Linked DNA regions of Coturnix japonica. The protein of the gene in region 2 interacts with the protein of the main gene of each other region in a pairwise test. Links are inferred from orthologs where the notes say so. Each region holds a gene or a part of one and is shown on either strand. Other genes may lie near its edges. The genes, in order: DOK2 and KIFBP.

Region 1 (3,244 bases), on a different chromosome or scaffold from region 2:
AGGCAGCAACCCTTAAATCTCCCCCCAAATCTCTGTTGTGATTAGCTGTGCTCCTTAATGATTTATAATCAGCATAACACAATCACGACAACGGCTCCCTAATCAGATTACACCGCTCTCCATTTGTCTGAGGCTTTGTGCTCTAATCTCTTCCCTCCTCTCTCTGCCATCGATTTGTGTTTCCTCATCTCATGCTCCACACACTCCCATGCTGAGCATTGCAAAGGGCTTTTCCAGCCTTTTTCTGGGCATTTCCAGCCTTTACATCCCCCTTTTCTGGGCTTTCCATCCCAGCTCACATCTCATTTTCCACCCAAAATAAGGAAGGAGTAAACCAGAGAGGTGGGAATCCAACCAACCCCTATGCAAAGTGATGAGCAGCTCCCTCATTAACCCAGCCCAAATCCCATCACACTCATAGGATATCGGAGTCCAAAGGTGTTACCACTCCTCCTCTTAACCAAGAGGCCGCAGGCAACGCAATGGGATTGGGAGAGGACTGTGTTAACAGCCATTAATAATAAATAACAGCCATAATGAGCTCTAATTAATTTGGTCACACGTTGAAAATCGTTTCCTTATTTCTTTTTAAGCTTATAGGGTTTTCTATACCGGAGCATCCCTGTTCTCAGCCCCTTCCATTCAACATGTGATAGATGGATTGATACACAGCTTTAATCAGTGTAATATAGAAAGCACTTAATTTGCCTTATTAAAAGTCTGCACTTTGGATTTTCAGGCTTCAGGAAATTAACTCAAGCACCTCACCATTTATTTGATTGAGTGAGAGCGAGCATAAATAATTCATGGCTTTTGCTTTGCTTTGGGTGGAAGAGCTGTAGGGGTGATGGGGAACGATCCTCATTGCAGGGACATGGCAGGGAGCAACAGAGCGACCTGTATGGGGTGCAATGTGCATCCCTGCACTGCTTGCAAGCTGGCCCTTGTAGCGTGCAATGTGCAACCTCAGAGCTGTGCGTTGCTGCCACTACGGCTTGCATGCCTTGGTCCTTACGCTGTGCATTGTGCATGGGATGGAGATGGGTTGGGGATGTTCACCACCACCCAGCTCTTACATTGAGGGATGTGCACCCCTGGGTCCTCCACCTTTTTGCTATGGGTCCCTTTGGGACGATGCTTTGCCAAGTTCTGGGTTGCACCGTGCCCTGTTCCTGAGCCTGGCAGTGCCGACCCCATAGTGTGGGTGTGCAGTGCCCTCCAGCGGCCGCAGCTGTCCAGATGTGCACAGCTGGCCATGGTCTCTCATTGCTTGTTCCTCTTCTTGGCTAATTGGAACACCACGTTGTCGTACTCGGTGTCCCCGAGCCACTCCTTGCCCTGTTGCATTGATGGGACGTTTCTCTTGGGCACGGCGTAGTCGTCCCGCTGTGGGTTATAGGGATATTGGTGCCCCAAAGGCTCCTCAGGGGCTGCCTGCAGCCTCCACGCTTCGCCCTTCACCTCCTGGGGCTCATCGTAGACAGTGTGGATGCTCACACCCTCAGGCTCATCATAGATGTGCTCCGGTTTAACGCGGGGACGAGGCAACGGAGGATGCCCACCTGCCTCTTGGATGCTGTCATACAATGGGTCTGGAGCATCAGCAGGACCATGGAGGATGCTCCCGAATTTACCGACCATCAGCGACTTGGCGATGGTATCAAAGGGGACGGCGTACTCCATTTCACCCACAGCATCCCCCCTCGTGCCCTTCTCTGGGGCTTTGGGCCCGGCCAATGTGGTGCTGTGGGTCAGGGGGCTGCAGGGTTGGCTGTAGATGCTCTTAGCGTGGTGTTCCTCCTGAACCCGCTCGGGGAGCTGGGTTTGTTGGTGTGGCCTTGTGCCTTCGTCCCCATTGCCGCCCCGTTCCCGCTGCATGGCGATGGCTGATTCGATCACCTGGAAGATCTCGTTGCCTTGTCTGGTCTCGAACTCAAAGTTCCCTTCACCTGAGGCACAACGCCGGCCGGCCTCGAAGGAGAAGGTCACCTGGAGGAGGGGAACAGCAATGTCCCTCAAGGAGAAGGGAGAGGTGGAGATTGGGGGATGTGGTGAGTGGGCACCATGGGGATGGGGTTGGGGATGGGGTTGGGGATGGGATGGGGTTGGGGATGGGGTTGGGGATGGGATGGGGTTGGATTGGGGTTGGGATGGTTGGGGATGGTTTGGGGGTTGGGGATGGGTTGGGGATGGGTTGGGGTTGGGGATGGGTTGGGGATGGGTTGGTTGAACTCTGAGATCTCGGTGGTCTTTTCCGACCTCAGTCATTCTGTGGATCAACAGTTGGATATGATGATCCTAAAGGGCTTTTCCAACCTTGATGACTCTATGGGGACTGTGGGGATGGGTCAGCAGTTGACTTGATGACCATAGCGGTCATTTCCAACCTTAGTGACTCTATAGGCACCATGGGGATGGGTCAACAGTTGACTTGGTGACCTTAGTGGTCATTTCCAACCTTAGTGACCCTATAGATACTACGGGGATACCAACAGTTGACTTGATGACCATAGAGGTCTTTTCCAACCTCAACAACTCTATGAGCACAGTGGGGATGGGATGACAGACTTGACAACCCTGGAGGTCTTCTCCAACCCCAATGACTTTATGATGCTATGATTCCCACCACCCCCCGCCCACCATAATCCCACCCTTTGAGCGCCCCCTTTACCTTGTCCCTCCCGAAGCGCCTGAGGAAGCGGTAGGGCCAGCTGTAAAGGACATCCCTGCTCTGCACACCCCGCAGCTCCAAGGCTTCCTCTCCTGCCCTCAACACAAAGCGGCCCCGCAGGCGGCAGCGCTCCGAGGACTCGGTGGCCCTCAACGTCACCTCAAAGTCTTGCTCCACTCCTGGGGGTGGAATGAGGAGGAAAGGGAGGTTTTATAGGGAGCCCCATAAGGGAAGCGGTGTCTGGCTGATAAAGGCAAAACCTGCAGTGAAACCCAGCCCAGCCAAACCACAGAGCAGGAAAAGCACCCAAAGGCCATTTCTGGATGTTGTGCTGCCTGCAGGATGCTGCTCACCCCCACACACGGCCCCCTCCCCACACACAGACACTCGCCTTTGCCCCTGGAGCTGTACAGGGAGTTTTCAGCCACGGAGAAGTCGCCGTCGGAGCTCAGCTGTCTGTCCTTCCCCACTGCCTGCTCCTCCTGGCTCCTCTGCAAGGAAAGGGTAAGGGCTGAGCCACGGCTCCCACCCATCTATACCCCAAAGGGACCCAGCAGACCTCACAACCCGGTT
Region 2 (3,735 bases):
ATGGTGTTCTGAGTTGTGGATTCTGCTGTGTATCGACAAAGGCTCCCTTGTGCTATTGTTACAGTCTTTGCAAAGCCTTTCTAACACCAGCTTGCTTTGGGGACAGGGCAGTTGTTGAGGGAGCTGAAAATATTAGTGACCTTAAAGGAGCAGCATTCTGTGTTTCAGGTTAAACAAGGTAGTTTCATGAAATTATGGTTTTATGGGAATACAGCTTACAGCACAGGTTACTCTCCTGGAAATTTCAGCACAGGTTATTCCTTATTGGTTACTCCCTGCCATTGCGCTGCCTTTGTAGCTGTGCTAGTCTATGGTTAAAGAATAGGTAGTGGATATAAGGAATTAAGACATGTTCATGGAAAAGATCTTCTGTTTTCTGCCTTCTGGATCAGTTGGTCTAACTAGAGATGCCACATCTCTCCACAGATCCTCAGCGTAATTAATTCCTGATGTTCATCTTTGATATTTATACCCAGCTAAGCACGATATTGATAGCTTTCTTTTGTTAATGTGTACAACTGTATCTTTCTGTTCTTGTGTGAAGAAAATAGACAGTCTTGTACATATCACAAGATATATCAATGTAAGGATTCTGACAGAACATCTGGTTTAAATAACAAAAAAACACTTGATCTACCTGACCCTCGTGCAAGTTGAATTAAGATTTAACAGCTTCATCCTCTGAAGATGTTGCCTGCTGTTTCACCAGCTTGTGAATAAAGGGAGTTGAAGTCGCATCAAGGCAGCACAAACAGTCTTTATAGCTGAGCACTCCTGACATCATGTTGCGTGCACTACTTCTTGCAGAGTGTTTTCACGTTACAGATTAGTGTTGCCAGGCAAGTGAACATTTCATGCTTGCAGATGTGCTTAGCAGTAAATTGATGCTTTGAAAAGCATCATGTAGAGCCATTTTGGTGCTGTATAATCTAAAGACTCCCAATTATAGTCCTGTGGAATACAAGAGTGAGTATTTCTGAGGCAGGTAGCATGTGTTATTTTAAACTACACAAACAAGTTTTTACAAGCCAAACCCTTGTATTTCCATGTGAAATCATGGGCTGCTTTTCCTAAATTTCTTGAGGTATATAGAATTGCATCAGAAGTGTGACAGTCAGATAGAAGTAGATGCATTATGTGAAGTTCTGTTCAGTTTAGGAAAGGAAAGTGGGTAAATAGTCTGCAGCCAGAAGAGGGAGTCACAAAGTAAGAGAGATGCACCTTCTTGAACATACTCTGTACTCATGCAGGATGGAAATCCTCCCTTGGATCCCAGTGAACATTTCATGGCAGAAGGAGAAGAAAAGCTCACAGACCAAGAAAGATCAAAAAGGTGGGTGAGTAACAGCAACCTAGATTTTTATTTTTATTTAGGGGGGTGTTTTTTTTTAGGGTCTAAAGAATTAAAAGAAGTCTGAAGAGCTTGTTTTTCCAGATTTGAAAAAGCCTATACACATACACTGTATTATCTGGCCCAAGTCTACCAGCACCTGGAGATGACTGAGAAGGCTGCTCAGTATTGTCATACTACTCTTAAGCGACAGCTTGAGTACTGCGGCTACTACCCGGTAGAATGGGCGCTCAACGCTGCTACCTTGTCACAGTACTATCTTTCCAAGGTAATTTACCTCATGCTTTTCTGCTTTAATTGTGTAAGAAGTGGTTTGCTTCCACACATCTTTATTGGCTCTAAATAATCCACTGAGCCAGGAAGTGCTCCAGGTCTTTTTTAGGGGTTATGTCCCAAACTACTCAGATACCTTCCTATACTTAAGTCTTCTACCATACCTCAGCCTGTTAATGCTGATTTCAACAGCAATTCATGATTTCTGTGTTTCTTGCTGCGTTGACAACCGTAATCATTAAACAAGGCAAATATGAGTAAAGAGATCTAAATCTGACTTGTAATGTTGACTTGTTTGTCCAGCTGATTCTGTTTAACACCCTGTGATACTATGACAAGGCAAAAGGAAGTGATGGTAACATAGATCAGAGCAGTGTGAGAACGTTCACAATTGTTCTTGTGGCTGTGGTAGCACAAAAATACTTAGCTAAAATACTGTATTCAGTCGTAGGTGTGGAAAAAACATATTTTATTCCATTGCCCTGGGGAGCAAGCTGCTGAGCCTCTCAGTTCTATATTTGCCTTGTGCCCCTGTCTCTTACAGCATGAGGTGAGGGGGTTTAGCGGAGAGCAGTCTTTCTGTTCCTTCCATTGGTGACAAACTGTTGTTTCCATCTGTCTCAGCAATGCTTTATGGAGTCCCGACACTGCTTAGCAGCAGCCAGCGTCATCTTCAGCCAGGCTGGACAGGTGCCATCTTCTGAAGACAGTAAGTTCATGTAGAAGTGTTCAATGATAAAGAAGGTGAATTGTGCACTGTTAGTACCTGTATTAAAATGAAGTCTCTTTGTATGTACTAAACTTATCCAAGTGATAATTTTCAGCAGTCTTCTTCTGCTTACAATAAACTGGTTTGTATTTATATGTAAAATACAGCTTACCTTGACTTCTGAATTGTCAGAAGACAGTAATTCAATGATTCAAAACAAATGCTTCCTAAAAATGGTTTTTAAAGGTGGAAAGAAAAAAATGACTATAGCTTTAAGGATCTGTAGTTATGTGATAGCATCAGCATTCAAATCCTCTGCTGTAGGCTTATGCTTTCCTTATCTACAGCATAGCTCTTTACATTCCATGTCTTGGGCAAATGGAAGTTTAAAAGGGACAGAGCTTAACTCACAGAGAGTAAGCAAGCACGCAGGGCAGCCCTAGTCTGAGTTCTTAACTCTGGCTTATAACAGTGTGTATTGTTCAGCTTCTAATGATTTGAGCTGTTCAGGATACAAGCACTTTAATCCAATGATGTTATTACACATGAAATTGAATTTTGAATAGGTTCAGCCAAGTTTTATTTAACCCACTGTCACTGAACTTCAGTTAGTTTCATTGCTTTCAGAATTTCCCTTAGCTCAAAAACACAGAAAACTCTGCAGTTGCCTTTGAGGGTGGTGTCCAAAAGACTTTTAGTTTCAGGGAACAGGGCTGTCAGAACTGAGCTATGCTTATTTGTAGGCTGTTTTCAGACAACGTATTTTATGAAACATTCAGAAGATCTGAGTGAGGGTTTGCAGACTTCTGTAGCTACGTGCCTGCACAGTTGTTTGATTTAATATGGTTCACAAGCCAAAAATGGAGGTTATGTGTTGGGTAATGAGCAGAGCACGGGAGCACACTTACAGTTATGCTGTAGAATTCAGGCGTGAGACTGAAAGTGACAAAGCGTCCTGGTTATACTTCATAAATTTCTTGTGTGACTTCTGGGCAAGTCAACCAACGTTTATCTCAGCTTCCTCCTCCACTAAACAGTGATATTTGTGTCTGTGTGGTGGAGTGAATGTTCCTCTGATATTCACTTTTCCCAGAACAGAGAAGCGGGGCTGTGAAGCTGAAGGTCACTGTGCAGGGAGCACTAGCTCACAGACGGGCTAATACACAGTCAACATTGGCCACTCTGATGCACTTTCCTTCTGTCTTGTTAATCAGTATGTAAACATGTGCACAAATGCTTAGTGAAGGTGCCTTTTTTAAATTAGCAATAATTACTTCCTTATAAGAACAGCCTGGTTCTCTCTGATGGATAATAACAAACATAACTGATCTGAGTATGACTTTTCATTTGGTGACAAGGAGTGCTCGCATCCCCTCATTGTTCAGCAAACTCAGTGCCCCCT

The links.
Region 1: the proteins of KIFBP (region 2) and DOK2 interact in a two-hybrid assay, tested with the Homo sapiens proteins (2 studies listed by BioGRID and IntAct). The two-hybrid records come from large-scale screens. The link is inferred for Coturnix japonica from reciprocal best matches to the Homo sapiens genes KIFBP and DOK2.

The regions. Positions count from the first base shown.
Region 1 is NC_029537.1:2,729,251-2,732,494, reverse strand, and holds the end of DOK2 (docking protein 2), read right to left. Parts: intron 3,176-3,244; exon of another isoform or gene 3,163-3,175; coding exon 3,063-3,162; intron 2,851-3,062; coding exon 2,672-2,850; intron 1,990-2,671; coding exon 1,264-1,989; 3' UTR 751-1,263; downstream 1-750. UniProt on the Homo sapiens protein: DOK proteins are enzymatically inert adaptor or scaffolding proteins. They provide a docking platform for the assembly of multimolecular signaling complexes. DOK2 may modulate the cellular proliferation induced by IL-4, as well as IL-2 and IL-3.
Region 2 is NC_029521.1:8,810,142-8,813,876, forward strand, and holds part of KIFBP (KIF-binding protein), read left to right. Parts: intron 1-1,250; coding exon 1,251-1,333; intron 1,334-1,435; coding exon 1,436-1,619; intron 1,620-2,248; coding exon 2,249-2,333; intron 2,334-3,735. UniProt on the Homo sapiens protein: Activator of KIF1B plus-end-directed microtubule motor activity. Required for organization of axonal microtubules, and axonal outgrowth and maintenance during peripheral and central nervous system development.